Tamandua tetradactyla: one gene and its partner. The protein of the gene in region 1 purifies or fractionates together with the protein of each later gene. This does not show direct contact. Links are inferred from orthologs where the notes say so. Each region holds a gene or a part of one and is shown on either strand. Other genes may lie near its edges.

What was found.
Region 2: the proteins of NOP2 (region 1) and NOP56 fractionate together in Homo sapiens (co-fractionation; 3 studies listed by BioGRID and IntAct, with this or other methods). This does not show direct contact. The link is inferred for Tamandua tetradactyla from reciprocal best matches to the Homo sapiens genes NOP2 and NOP56.

The regions. Positions count from the first base shown.
Region 1 is NC_135333.1:68,856,576-68,863,827, reverse strand, and holds the start of NOP2 (28S rRNA (cytosine(4447)-C(5))-methyltransferase), read left to right. Parts: upstream 1-4,164; 5' UTR 4,165-4,278; intron 4,279-4,518; 5' UTR 4,519-4,522; coding exon 4,523-4,628; intron 4,629-4,715; coding exon 4,716-4,766; intron 4,767-5,669; coding exon 5,670-5,715; intron 5,716-5,886; coding exon 5,887-5,975; intron 5,976-6,157; coding exon 6,158-6,390; intron 6,391-7,252. Other genes in the region: CHD4 (chromodomain-helicase-DNA-binding protein 4), read left to right, coding at 1,460-1,655, 2,401-2,564, 2,735-2,752. UniProt on the Homo sapiens protein: S-adenosyl-L-methionine-dependent methyltransferase that specifically methylates the C(5) position of cytosine 4447 in 28S rRNA. Required for efficient rRNA processing and 60S ribosomal subunit biogenesis.
Region 2 is NC_135327.1:24,397,303-24,404,758, forward strand, and holds the start of NOP56 (nucleolar protein 56), read left to right. Parts: upstream 1-4,356; 5' UTR 4,357-4,371; coding exon 4,372-4,488; intron 4,489-4,869; coding exon 4,870-4,984; intron 4,985-5,539; exon of another isoform or gene 5,540-5,609; intron 5,610-5,728; coding exon 5,729-5,890; intron 5,891-6,042; coding exon 6,043-6,241; intron 6,242-6,356; exon of another isoform or gene 6,357-6,488; intron 6,489-6,625; coding exon 6,626-6,813; intron 6,814-6,899; coding exon 6,900-7,051; intron 7,052-7,223; coding exon 7,224-7,324; intron 7,325-7,386; exon of another isoform or gene 7,387-7,456. UniProt on the Homo sapiens protein: Involved in the early to middle stages of 60S ribosomal subunit biogenesis. Required for the biogenesis of box C/D snoRNAs such U3, U8 and U14 snoRNAs. Part of the small subunit (SSU) processome, first precursor of the small eukaryotic ribosomal subunit.

The DNA.
Region 1 (7,252 bases):
GCTGGTTTGTTGCAGATAAATTAGTAGGCACTGATGGGACCAGGCCTTGTGGAAGAAACAAAAGTCTATTATTCTCAGGACATCCCTTTCCTCATTTTCTTGAAGAATCAGTGGGTATTTAAGAACTAATTTAAAAACCAGCAATTTTGCTGCTTGGAACATATTTCAAAGATCTCCTCAGCTTAATCAGGCATTTAATTTTTGGTGGTGGGGACCTAGAAGCGACCTAGATGACTGACATTGGGGGCGTAAATAGGTGTTATGTAGATTCACATCACAGCATTAGGCAACAGTTAAAAGCTCCAAAATATATATGCATGTAACAGCATAAATGAGCTTTTAAAAAAGGTATATAATGAGCAAAACAGCATTTTATATGTACAGAACAGCATTCTGTAAACTAGAAATGTGTGTATGAAACAATAATACCCAATTTTGAAGAATATACACAAAATGACACAACGTAAGTATATTAGAAGGGTTGCCCGTCAAAGACCAAGTTCTCGTGACTGAAGGAGAATGGAGTGAGATACGGGGATAAAAGAAAAAAAGTTTTATTATTTTTAATTTTTATAAACTACTTTTAAAAAGAGTAAAACAAAAATTATATGGTAGGTTTATCTATAAGGTGGACTACTATGCAAGAGTAGTTTTTTTTGAAGTAGTTTATTTTGAAAAGTAGTTGACAAAGGAAGATGCACAATACAGAATTTTTGAGTGAAAACATGATACAGATATTTATGTGATCTCAATTATGTAAAAGACATACAGGCATGGGTGTTGGTTAGCTGATGGCTGGGGGTAAGTGGCCGTACTGAGTCAGTCACACAGACACACAGCACACAGCACATGACTCAGGAGACAACCCTCAGGGGTGAGTGGAAGGTGTCCGCTTTATTGAGGAAGTGCACAGGCTTATATAGGCTGGGAGCATGCAGGGACACGTGTCGGGCTAGGATTGATCACCGTTGTTGCTAGGGTGGAGGGCGGATTTCTGGGATTGGCGCTTTTGGTGCAAACCACCACTAGTTCCGGGAGGAAAGCCGGTCGCGGGCTAGGCCATTTTGTGTTGCCTTGCATCAACCACGGCAGCCATGTTGGCAAATTATGACATCTCCGTCACATGGGAAAATCTGGAAAGAAAAACAAAATGTTTACATATTTGTAGGAGGTGGGACCATGTATAATTTTAATTCTTTCTACATTCTGTATTTTCTCAATTGGGTTTTTATCCTTACTGTGTGAGATTCAATAAGAGACCCCCCTTCCCCCCCCCCAAAAAAAGAAAAGGCAATGTAATGTTGAACAGCTTGGGTGTAGATCCACCCATGAAGTTCTTTATCGGATTTTATTATATGGAGGAAGAAGGCAAGTCCACTAGGTGAGGCCGAAAGGCCCATCAGAAATAAGCCAAGTGAATGTCGGTCCAACTCCCCTCTCCTTTTCATCCCTTGTCCAGCTCTTGGAACAAGCCCTGGTGATTGAGGAACAGTTGCGCCGGGCAGCTTACCTGAACATGTCAGAGGACCCCTCTCACCCTTCCATGGCCCTAAATACCCGTTTTGCTGAGGTGGAGTGTTTGGCAGAGAGTCATCAGCATCTGTCCAAGGAGTCAATGGCAGGAAACAAACCAGCCAATGCAGTCCTGCACAAAGGTAGCCAGTGGCTCCCCTGCCTCCTGCTGGTTCAGCCTCCTCCCCACTCCACCCCTCCATAACACTTACATACTTCTTTCCCAAACTTCTTAGGGGGTCCCTTTGTCTGGAAGGGTAGGATGTGCGGTGGGTCTTTACCTTCCTCCTTGGAAAGGAAGCTTCTATTTTAGAGGCAGTCAAGACAGCAATTCGTAGCCTTTTAACTTTGAAATATGTTCATGTTTTTGGAGGTAGAAGGCAAAGCAGAATAATGTGTCATCTGGGATACTTTAGAGGTAATGTTAGGTAATTTAAGATCCCTTGACATTCTAGGCCCCTTTCCACATTTTGTCCCTAATTAAAATAAAACTCTGCAAAGAGGGTAGATGGTGAAATGAAGAAAAAGGTTTTTTGTTTTTGTTTTTTTTTAAATATAAAGGGAGTGGGGGGCAGATCTAGAAGGTGGAGGGAGAGGAAAGACAAGAATGAGAAAGGAGATGAATACGCTCTTGAGAAGTGGAAGAGGCAAGGGAAAATAAGGATTTAGGTTACTTTAAAAAGCACAGAATCGTGGAATAGGAGGAATAGGAATAGGAGCATGTTGGAGGCCATTTCTTGTGACTGATAAAAGACAGACCACGCTCCAAGAGTCTAGCACATCACAGGTACTTGGTCATTAAGAAGTGATGGGGGGCTGGTCCACTGTGGTGGAAGGATATGAGTCTTGACCACCACAGCTCACCACCTCTTTTTTTTCCTCCTGCAGTTCTGAAACAGCTGGAAGAACTGCTGAGTGACATGAAAGCCGATGTGACTCGACTCCCAGCTACCATTGCCCGAATTCCCCCAGTTGCTGTGAGGCTACAGATGTCAGAGCGTAACATTCTCAGCCGCCTGGCAAACCGGGCACCTGAACCTCCCCCACAGCAGGTAGGGCCATTTTCTGCTTCTGGCCAGTTCTTCCAGCAGAACTATTCTGGAACTTGTAATATTGCACTATGTTCCTAGCTTTACATGCTGGGCAGGCGGGGTTGTCTATCAGGGAATTCCCTTAACTGTTGTGGGCTGGAATTCTGACTTCCTTGGCTCTTTCCCTACAGGTAGCCCAGCAGCAGTGAAGATCCAGATTGATGATACCACCTCCACCGCTGAGCAGTGACCTTCCTCTTTCCCTTGTCCCAGCTTCTCTCCTGGGGGCCTGAGAGACTCTCCTTCCTTCTGTCCCATCGTCCATGTTGTAAAGAAACAGCCCCCCAACCCTGGGGGAGGGGGAGGGAGTGAGGGGCAGTGGTGCCCTTCCTGCTGGAGAGACATGCAGCAGTAGCGCCGGCGCCATCTGCAGGGAGCTGGTGGGCTGGCCCTCTGGGCCCTGGCTTCTCCCCGCTGTAAAGCTGTAACGTCTGTTACACACAAAACTGTTGGTGGGTTCCCGCCAGGCTTGAAGAAAATGATCTGAATTTCTTCCTCCTTTTGGTTTTATTTTGTTGGTTTAATTTGTGTTTTCTTTTAATCCTTTTTGGGGTATTCAGAGTGGGCCGGGCCCCTGGGTGAGACACAGCTACCTCTGTTGGCATCTTTTTAATACCAGGAACCCAGCGGCTCCAGCCACTGAGCGGCTAGAACGAAATAAAGTGAAAAATTAAAATAAAAAAAAAAAAGCATAAAAAAAACAGCAAATTTCTTGATGAAAATAAAAATTTCCTTGTATTTTAGTGCTCTGGTTCAGTGTGGGTGTAGGTGCAGGTGGATGAGTGTGTATGACAGGAGTCCTGGGAAATGAAACTAGATACTACCTTGTGTCTGTGGGCAAAGCCAGGTGTGCTCCCAACCAAGGGTGTCTCAACCTGTGGAAAGTGAGCCTTCCAAACTGCCTGGGCCTCTGCCCTGCACTGCTTAGTGGCTCTGACCTTGAGCATGTTCTTTAATTACTGAGCTACGAACTTATCACAGATAAAATAAGGACAGCTTCCTCATAAAATGGCAGGGATTACACCAGTAAGGTGCCTGGAACAGTTTTTGACGCCTACCAAGCACTACCTCACTGTCTATTTGAAGCCAGGTGGAAGGAGGTTCCTGTGGTCAACTTTTGCGGAACTAGGATGCAAATTTTTTCCTAGGCACTGGGAAACCTTACCTGAGTGGGGCTAAGTAGGAGTCTGTGGGGTGTACAAGGAAGAAGGTTTCCTAATCAGAAGTTTGGGGGATGGAGATTAAGTGGCCTGCAGGTTCTATGATCTTGAGGCTGGACGTAGGGCGGTCGGTGGGATGTTGCGGGAGAGTTACAGCCTGGTTCGAGGGCTACTTTTTTTACTTTAAATCTGTCGTGAGGCCAAAAGTCATCGCCGGGAGGGTGGATCGGGGGAGCTGAGAGCGGCTCGGTCCCCATTCCCGCCTCCCTCGGGAGCTATATGTGGGGCGGAATGCTTCCATACCTCCCCGGCGAGTTCGCAAAGCGGACGCAGGATCCGGACCCGCCGCCACAGCCGAACAGTAACCGGAAGGGGCGGGGCCATGAGGCGAGTGCGGCCTGTGCGCCTGCGCGGGACTTTTCCGTGGAGTGGGTGGTCCGAAAGCTAGCTCGGGAGTGCACGTGGAGTGTGGCACGGGGGGCCGAGGGGCAGCTTAGGCCTCGTCCGGCTTTCGGGTGAGCAAAGGGTGTGTTTGGAGGCAGTCGGGGGAAGAAGGGTGGCAGCGCTGACCTGGACTGGTGTGTGGGACCCCAGTTCCGGGTCTTAGGGTGGGTGGCGGTTAGTTGGGTCTCAAAAGGCTGTCCGGGGCTCCGAGCCGAGATTCTGGTCGAGGTGGTGCTCTGTTCCTGCGCTAATTCCTGAGCATGCGTTCCTCTTGCAACGCGCCATTCCGCCTTCGATTTTTTTCCCTCCAGTATCATGGGGCGCAAGTTGGACCCTACGAAGAAGGAGAAGCGCGGGCCGGGCCGAAAGGCCCGTAAACAGAAAGGTGCCGAGACAGAGCTCGCCAGATTCTTGCCTGCAGGTAAGGGTCAATCAGGGTCAATCCTGGCTCCCCTCCAGCTCCTGGATTTTGCTCTTATCTATCAATAACAGCCTCCCTTGTTTTTAGCCTCTTCACTTTCCGTTCAAGTGAAACCTTCTCTGTATGATTTATTGGAAAGTAAGTATGAACGAAATATTTGTCAGTATGATTAAAATTTAGAACTTACGGGAGATGCCACGAGTACACAAGTACCCATGCAAGGAGAGGTGCATTTTAACAACGTGGGAGTTCACAGGAAGGGAAATCCCAGGCAGTTAGGGAATTACAAAATATTTTTTTTGCTAAGGAGCTAGGTTTTGAAAAATGGTTAGCATTTGGCAAGTGGGAAGGGACAAGCCAGTCACTGTGAGCTGGATTGTGGAAGAAATGGAGATTGATTTTTACCGTGGTGGATTGGTGGATAGTCTGCTTGAGTGCCGCGGGGCAGACTGGTGGGAGGGCAGACTGGAAGGTAGTTTATTTGGGGCTTTGTATAAACGATAAAGATTCCTAAGGTATTACCAAATGCCTGGCACCATACCAAACCCATTAGACATAGTGATATCATTTCATCCTGCCTGTGAGGGCAGCCCTATTGTCTTGATTAACAGTTGAAAAAGTAGAAACTGAGAGTTTAAGTGACTTGTGTAGTTATTAAATGACATGGTCAAAAATTAAATTTTTTATTTCTTGGAGAATTATGAAAAATAGTTGTGAAAAAATCTATTGTATTTGGTAACTGATTACATAGAGAGTAAAAGAAAGGGCAAAAGAAAAGATAAATTTTGAATCTGGGTTGTTATGAGAATGATGATGTTTGTTATTAGAACCTGAAGTCTGAAGGGAGACCCAGTTTGAATTTCGTTGATGAACAGCCAGATGAGTGCTTAGTTTCTTTTTATCCAGCTTCTGGCAGAGTACTGTGGAGTGAGTTACAGTCTACTCCCTTTCATTAGTGTAAGTTTTCTTCCTGTCTTTACTTTCTCCCCCACTTCTTTTCTTTTCCCCTGTATCCTCCTATTCTGCCTCTATTTTTTACAGCTGGTGATGAAAATTCCAAGAGGTTGTCTAGTCGTGCTCGAAAGAGGTGAGTGTGGGTGTTCAGATTTACATAGATTAAACTGATGCTGCTCATATTTAGCCATATGGAATAGGCTGATGAGCAGGACTGATTTGGGACTCGCTGCTTTGAATCTGTGATGGGGAATGGCAGAGCCTGCAGGTGTATTCCCGTTTCCTCACCCATATATCTTTCCAGGGCAGCCAAGAGGAGGTTGGGCTCTGCTCAAGCCCTTGAGATGAATAAGTCTCTTAGGGCTAAACCATTGCCTGGAAAGCTGCCAAAAGGTTAGTGAAAATAGGTGGGTGCTATGTGAGGGTTCTCTGGGTCTTTGGCCAGCAGTTCTGGGAGAAAGGAACAGTCAGGAGGATATTTTTAGGGGAAAGTCCAGGATCCAGGGGTTGTGGGACAAGGAAGTGTGTGACTACCATCAGTCTAGGATTCTTTAAATGCTTAGAAATCTCTGCAGGAGCTGTCCAGACACCTGGTAAGAAGGCAGCCCAGTCCTTATACAGCACTGCTCAGGGCAAGAAGTGTCGGGCACCATCCCATAGCAGTGATGATGAGGAGGAGAAGGAAGACCCTGAGGAAGATGGGGAAGTGACCCAGGGGGACCTCTGGGGCTCTGAGGACAGTGACAGTGATACCAACATGGTAGATGATTATGGAGCTGATTCCAGCTCAGAGGAGCAAGATGAAGAGGTGAGATTCAGTGGATATTGAGTAAGGTATCCTTGCCTCTTGGTTTCTTTCCAGATCTTGTTGCTATTCCTCTGTGACAAGGATAAACCTTACTAGAGAAGAAGGATTTTAGTGCTTTCTCATTCTTTCTCTACTACCTGACATTCTCAGTGCATGAGCAGGTTTAGAAGAGCTATTGAATAGAAACTTTACAAAGGAGAGAGTGCTCAGTGATGGTGAGGATGTGGTAAGGTGAGCACCTGTGTGTGCCACTGATGGGAATGGAAATACATGCAGACTTTTAAGGTTTGTTATCTAGGAACTTTAAAAAGTTTCTTCCTTTTGACCTGATTAGGAAGATAACCCAAAATGTAGGCAGGTTTATGTGATGTGTAAAAGGTTATTTACCCTCTTACACAATTAATATTAGGAAAATTCAAACATGATAGAGCTCTGTGGAGTAGAAAAGGAAAGCCCTCATTTGTACGCCTCCCACAGCCTCCTTCTTTCTTGTTCTTTTTTTTTTAATTTTTATTAATAAAACCAATCAACATATGAACATTCTTTTTTTATCACATAGTTGTATATTTACCATCATGATCATTTCTTAGAATATTTGCATCAATTCAGAAAAAGAAATAAAAAGAAAACAGAAAAAAAATTCATACATACCATACCCCTTACCCCTCCCTTTCATTGATCCCTAGCATTTCAATCTACTACATTTATTTTAACATTTGTTCCCCCTATTATTTATTTATTTTTAATCCATATGTTTTACTCATCTGTTCATAAGGTAGATAAAAGAAGCATCAGACACAAGGTTTTCACATCACACAGTCACATTGCAAATGCTATATCATTATACAATCATCTTCAAGAA
Region 2 (7,456 bases), on another chromosome or scaffold:
AATCCATTATCACTTCAAATAGAGTGCTTCCTCCTTTTTTCCTTCCTGACTTCTGAGCTCCAATCAGGGCAGAAATTATAGCCTCTCATTCCATAGCACCTCCTTATCTCAGGAAAAATGGCTCCACAACATCTTTCAGTCTGCTAATGGTCTCTTCAGTTGTACCTAATTTATTAATGAGCCATTTGCATTTCTTTAATTTCAACAATGGGAGTTTTCATGTCCACACATTTCATGTCTGTTCATTTCTGCTTGCTCCCTTGATTGTGGCAGAGATAAAGCTGCATGCTTCTACAACAGAGGTCAGCAAACGTTTTCCATGAAGCATCAGATGGTAAATACTTTAGGTTTTATGGACCAAATATAGTATCTATCACTTATTCTTTTTTTTTTTAATAATCTTTTAAAAATGTAAAGCTCAATGAAAAAAACAGGCCACAGGTTGGATTTGACCCCTAGTCGATAGTTCGTTGACCTGTGCTCTAGAAAAAAAATCACACACTTCATGTGATACAACTGTCAGTAAGGCAGAGGAAAGCTAGTACAGTATTAGTAAGGGAAGTGTTGAAATGAAAGTCCCTCTGGTTGTGAGCCTGGTGCTGTAGCCTACAGGTGCAGGCAAGTGATCCTAGAGACCTCACAGGCCTCACTGGAGATACCTGAGTGCTCATACAGCATGGAAGCAGTGGAGGCCTGCAGAGAGGGCACCTGGAGCTTGGAGAGTCTGAGCATCCAGCTGGCATTGGCCTATCTCAGAAAACATAGTGCACACGTCCGGGAACCAGTCCAAAGCAGCCATCCCTGAGCAAGGGTAAATGGGCTCCTAGGACATGGCACTAGAAACTGAGCATGAATAACTGAGGCCTCCCCCACATTCCTTTGCAATTGGAGAGTTGGTCTCATAAGCCCTCTTGCTATTCTGAGAGGAGCAGGGGAAGAGAGAGGATTTCTAAACAACTCTTACCTTAACAAGACTTCATACCAGATGTTGCTGGTAACCAACAATTGTCATTTACACATCGAACATGTTTTCCAGGTTCTGACAACATTTAATCAGGGTAACAGTAAACTGTCTGTTGCCACAAGAAATTGAAAAAGGAATATATAACTGTTTTAATACATAAAACTAGAGTTGTCTAGAGAGGAAGTGTCCATATGCAGAAGGCAAGGCTGAAGTGATGGGAATGAATCAGAGCAGGAGGGGGTATCAAAAATGGAGACAGATGAGAATTGGGACTCAGCTGACAACAGGTAACACGAAATGTGTATGCATTTATCAATAAAAGGGGCAAAAGAATGAGGCAAAAGAAGACCCCTAACATTTTTTGAGCTCCTCCTACCTGAGGCACCATGCCTATAGGAGAAGTTCAGTAAATATTTGCTGAAGGGGTGAATAAACTCTCCATTTTCATTCTTCAGAAGAAGTGAAAGTTCAGGGAAAATAAGTAACTAAATTAACGTCACCAGGCTTTGAAGCCAAACCTACTGACTCAGTTTTGTACTTACTGTTGCTTAACAAGCCATCTCTAAACTATTGGCATAAAACCACAATATATTATATCTCAGAATTCTGTAGGTTCTGGGAGCTCAACTAGACAGTTCTGCTGTTCTCGTTTGGGGTCTCTCATGTTGCTCAAGTCAGATGACAGTTGGGGCTGGAATATCAAAACCCACAAGTCCAGGGCCTTGGCCTGGATGGTGGAGAGTTGGAATACACTGGGAAAGGTGGACCTCCGTCTGTTTCCACATGGTTTCTCCAGCAGAGTAACCAAAGTTCTTATAAAGCAACTAAAGGCTTCCAAGAATGCAAATGGCTGAGGCCTGGAACAGGCCCAGAATCCCTTCTGCTGCATTCTGTTAAAGTGTCACACAGCAGCCAGGTAAATGTGTGTGTGTGTGTGTGTGTGTGTGTGTGTGTGTGTGTGTGTGTGTGTGTGTGTGTGTGTGTGGAGTGGGGTACAAAACTAACGACATGATACCAGGAGGTATGGATGGCTGGTAACCTTCTTTGGAGACTGGTGACTATAGGTGATGCTGTGAAACCAAGGCCTTTAATCTCTCCGTTACTTCAAGCCAAGATGTGCAGCCACAAATAGCACCTAATTGGATATTCTGCCTAGAAAGATCAACTCTGGCAGTGACGAGGAAGGTAGCATGCAGAAGGGGAGACCAAAAACTTTGTAAAAATCCACTTTCCTTGTAAGGACCCAACCTAGACAAGGAGCAAACAGCCCAAGAGAAGGGACAGTTACTTTCTAACATCAGGGGAGGGCCAGGTGCCAGGGAGAGAAAAAGGAAGTCAAAGGAATATTTTATTTTGGCATTTACCCACATTCCCATTTACCTGTAAGCATTTGTATCATACTAGTTGAAGTACATTTTTCTATATTTATCTCTTTAAATCAGCAAACTACTTCAGCAACAGGTAGTTTGTAACCAGAAAACTTGAGTATAACTAGTTAACTTTCACCTCAGTGGATGACTCAGATTGTTCATATCATGACTTAATACACAGAAATGTATGTGTCTGTATGTAGATATGTATGTATACCCACACACACACTCAGAAGTTTGACAAACTACTATCTTTTATCCTACATGGCATACCCTATTTTCTAATCTCTTTAATCCTGATTCTGTTGTTGTTTAAATGGCTGTTGCTAACTAAATTAATTCTATGTCCATGAATGGATTCTGCTTCTGATTTGAAAATCCCTGCCTTACAGGAAAAACAGTAACACCAGGAAGATTTAGAATTAACTATGGAAATAAGGAAGTAAATCCAAATGATGGCCTTAATATTTTTCATTATGTTTTAGAATCATTATTGGTATTTTGCATATTTACGTTTAGAATTTAATGTACTGAAGTATGTAATAGATAATTTCACGGTTCCCCTTTTAAAATGAGAAATGGAATAACTGATTCAGACTTGCCATCATAAATTGCTATGCACACAGAATTTAACCGTGCTTGTAAGCAATATTGAGATTTTTAAGAGATAAGATAAACCAAACATTTTTTCAGTGTAATGTATTAGATTTATAAGTGAGGTAATTCTTGGGTTGTTTAACAAGTAACTGAATTGCTTAAGAAAACAAAACATTACATTTATAAATGCAGTTTATAGTTATTGGAATCCAAGTTATAAAAATCCCTCGGGCAGACCACAGTGGCTCAGCAGGCAGAGTTCTTGCCTGCCATGCCAGAGATTCGGATTCGATTCCCGGTGCCTGTCCATGCAAAAAAATTAAATAAATAAATAAAAATCCCTTTAAAATGACCATTCTAAATTTACCAGGAAACCTACTACTTCAGGATAATCAGGTTTGGGATTCAAAACTCTAATATTAATTATTAAAGCCAAAGTAACTTCAAAGTGGTCTTCCATGTGTCCAAAAGCCGCCCTGGAGGACAGGGCAGCAGCTCCAACTCACTTAGGTCTGCGTGAGTGTTAAGAGTGTAACGCAGTTAGGAGCGTCCATGTGAGCGAGCAACACGTGGCCCGCAAAGAGCAGAGTCTAGGGAGTAGGAAACCGGCCTGGGAACACGTGGTGGCACTTTTCTTTACTACTTGATTAATCATCAATTCCATTTTAAAAATGAAAAGAAAAAAAAAACCCAAAAAACACGAAAGCCACGAGGAATATAAGTTTCCTGCAGGGTCTGCTCCCGTGTGTCTCAGACCTCCAATCCAGAGAAGGAGGAAAAGGGCGCGGCGGCCCACGGGGCTCCTGAAGGGTTCGCCCCCGCGCGGAAGGCCGGTACCAGGGGTTCGGGGGACTCGAGGTGGAGTGAGGGGTCCGGAGCCCTAAGTCACCGCGATGAGGGCAAATCTCCTGCCTGGGCTGATCGCCGCTCCCCACGCAGTGCCTCCCACACGGACTTCACCAAGCTCTGCTGCACCTAACATAAATGATGAAAACTCGAAAACTAGGGCTATTATCCACAGAAACCCTTTTGCAAAGCGCTTTGGAGGGCTTTGGAGCCGACCAGGTCGGCGCGTCCCCAGCAACCCTGCCGCCAGCGCCACAGTAGGGGGCCGGAAAAGGCCGGCACTTTAGCGCTCCGCACCACCCCACTCCGGAAGATACCACCTCTGCGGACCCGGACCCTTCCGAAGGCTCGAAAATGGTACCGTCCCCTCTCTCTGATTGGCCAACGAGCCGAAGGCGTGACTTCCGAAGCTGTTTCCGCGCGCCAGAGCCCGCTCGCCGCATTGCGAGCCGGGCAAGGAGCGGGCGCCATGGTGAGGAGTGGTTGCGGGTTGCGGGCTAGGCGAAGGCCGTGGCCTGGGCTCGGACTCGATTACGGGACTGGGCTGGGGCCTGCCCGGGGAGCAGGGGCCGAGCGGGCGCGTGGCCTGCGCTGATGCTCGCGCCCCGGCTCCTGTTCCAGGTGCTGCTGCACGTGCTGTTCGAGCACGCGGTCGGCTACGCGCTGTTGGCGCTGAAGGAGGTGGAGGAGATCAGTCTGTTGCTGCCTCAGGTGGGTGGAATCAGTGGGTCCGCACGGCACAAGTGGATAACCCGCGGCGATGAGCGCCCAGCGCGGGTCCCAGCATGCACCGCGCGCTCCCACGTGGCCGCCGCGCGTGTTAGGGGTAGATCCTGGGCCTGGAAAGCTCGAGAGTCGGGGGTCCTCACCTTGATTTATGACCGCAGTCATTTTAGGAGCTTTAACAAATAAACTTTACTCTCTCTTGGTACCGATTGAGGCAGAAACGCAGGCAGTGGGGCTGATGCATCGTTATATTTTAAAAGCTTTCCAGTTCTTAAGTGCATCCAGGGCTGAAAACTTCTGCTTTACTGCAATTTAGAAGCTTGAACGAGAGAAGGAAACCGTTCATCTGTTTGTTCGTACCCCCAGGTAGAGGAGTGCGTGCTCAACCTGGGCAAGTTCCACAACATCGTTCGTCTTGTGGCCTTTTCTCCCTTCTCCTCTTCCCAAGCTGCCTTAGAAAATGCCAATGCTGTGTCTGAAGGTGAGCTGGTCACCCCAAAGTATTTTAGGGGAAATAATGGAAATGTGGTTCCTGCCACCATTTATCCTTGCAGGGTGCTTAGCAATAGTACTTGCGTTTCGTCGGTTACTTTGTTCTAGAACTGGGATGTACGGAATATAATTTAAAAATAGCTGTCTCCATAGAACTCAAACTTTGAGGTACTTGATGGACGAAATGCTTTCATATTTAAAACTTGCAATGCAGAATGTAATTTTTCGTTGTGGGCACTGGAATGGTAATTCTTAACCGAAATCTTGTGGGAAGGGCAGGTTTAAAACCACTTATGCTCCAGTTTTGACTAAACCCAGTCAAGTGGTCTGGTTTCCTTTTAGATCCTTTATTTGACTGGAAGAGACAGTTCTGGTCCCAGGAGATCAATGAGGTTCTGGATACTTTTGTCATGTTTGAGGCTATGTTTTAAGCTAAGTTTTTGATACTTGTATCATGTTTGAGGTTATGTTTTAAGCTTAGTTATATATTTCATACTTGTGCTGTTGGACGTAGGTCCTGTTCCTCCCACCATTAAGCCAGGCTTTGCAGTGATGACTTGTGAGTCTGTCAATCCCCTGAGTTTAGACACTGAAGTCTCCATGTCTCTGAGCAATGCCGGAAGGAGGAACAGAGGGTGTCTCTAGCATTAAATCAGTATTTATGAGGGTCAGGGTCCTTATACCTGAAGCATCCTTCATCACGTTAGTGGGAGCTATGTTCTTTGCCCCCAAGGCGTTGTTCATGAGGATCTTCGCCTGCTCTTGGAGACCCACCTGCCATCTAAAAAGAAGAAAGTACTTTTGGGGGTTGGGGACCCCAAGATTGGTGCTGCTATACAAGAGGAGTTAGGGTACAACTGCCAGACTGGAGGTGTGATAGCCGAGATCTTGCGAGGTGAGACCCATCTCTTTTATACTCACACATTCTTTGACCTCTTTGAGGGTGGGGATGTTTATGGTTGCTTCTAGGAAGCCCCATGGTTGATTCCCATGGGTGCAGGAGCTAGCTCAGATGCCTTCCTTGCTCACAGTCCTTCCCTTCTCCAGGAGTTCGCCTGCACTTCCATAATCTGGTGAAGGGTCTGACCGATCTATCTGCTTGTAAAGCACAACTGGGGCTGGGACACAGCTATTCTCGTGCCAAAGTTAAGTTTAATGTGAACCGAGTGGACAACATGATCATCCAGTCCATTAGCCTCTTGGACCAGCTGGATAAAGACATCAACACCTTCTCTATGCGCGTCAGGTAAGGAGTAGGGATGACCCCTGAGATTGGGGTCTTTAGCCTGTGATTTCACTAATTTTGAATCCTGTGATGAGGATTAGCAGCTCCTGTGGGTAGAACAGGTGGGGTGGGGCTGGACCTCCTGGTGCTTACCACAGGCTGTGTTCTTGCACTGACTGTATAGAAAGAGGAGGCAGAGTAAACCCACCCCATCTACACCACAGCCCAGGCCTTGTGCTTGGTCTGTATTGTGAATGGGGGGACATGGAGTTGAGAAGGGGCTTGGACCCTGGCTGGACCCATTTCCTACAGACAAACAGTCAATGTGGAAATAGCTGAGGGTCTGGTTTTACTGTTTATGAGACATGGCAGCTGGACCCAGGAGATAGCTATCGCTCTTTGCAGGGAATGGTATGGATACCACTTTCCGGAGCTGGTAAAGGTTGTCAATGACAATGCCACATACTGCCGCCTTGCCCAATTCATTGGAAACCGAAGAGAACTGAATGAAGACAAATTGGAGAAATTAGAGGAGCTGACGATGGATGGCGCAAAGGCCAAGGCTATATTGGATGCCTCACGGTCCTCCATGGGTCAGTACAGCAGAACCCAGCAGCCAGGTGTAAAGTAATTGGGTCTTGAATATCTGGCTCTCATATTCACACATAATATTTCCTAGGCATGGACATATCTGCTATCGATTTGATAAACATCGAGAGCTTCTCCAGCCGTGTGGTGTCTTTGTCAGAATACCGCCAGAGCCTACATGCTTACCTGCGATCCAAGATGAGCCAAGTGGCCCCTAGCCTGTCGGCCCTCATTGGGGAAGCGGTGCGTCAGGGTGAATACCAAACGGGGAGAATTGGGATGTTACCATGCTTGTCTGCACTGCTACATTTTCTGACCCACCATATCTTCCCCATGGGAATGTGAGCAGGGGTTTATACAATTCATAGACAGGCAGTTTCCACTTCTCTGACCTTTTCCTCAAATTTTTCTTCAGGTAGGTGCACGTCTTATTGCTCATGCTGGCAGCCTCACCAACCTGGCCAAGTACCCAGCATCCACAGTACAGATCCTTGGGGCTGAAAAGGCCCTGTTCAGGTACCAGTGAGGGTACCTGCCCAAACTCAGGTGCCACTTCTGGTGCCCACTGCTTGTTTTGGGATCACAGTGATGGCTGACCGGGGCTCCCCTGACCTGTGCAGGCCTCTGCTATGGGGGTGATGGCTAGTC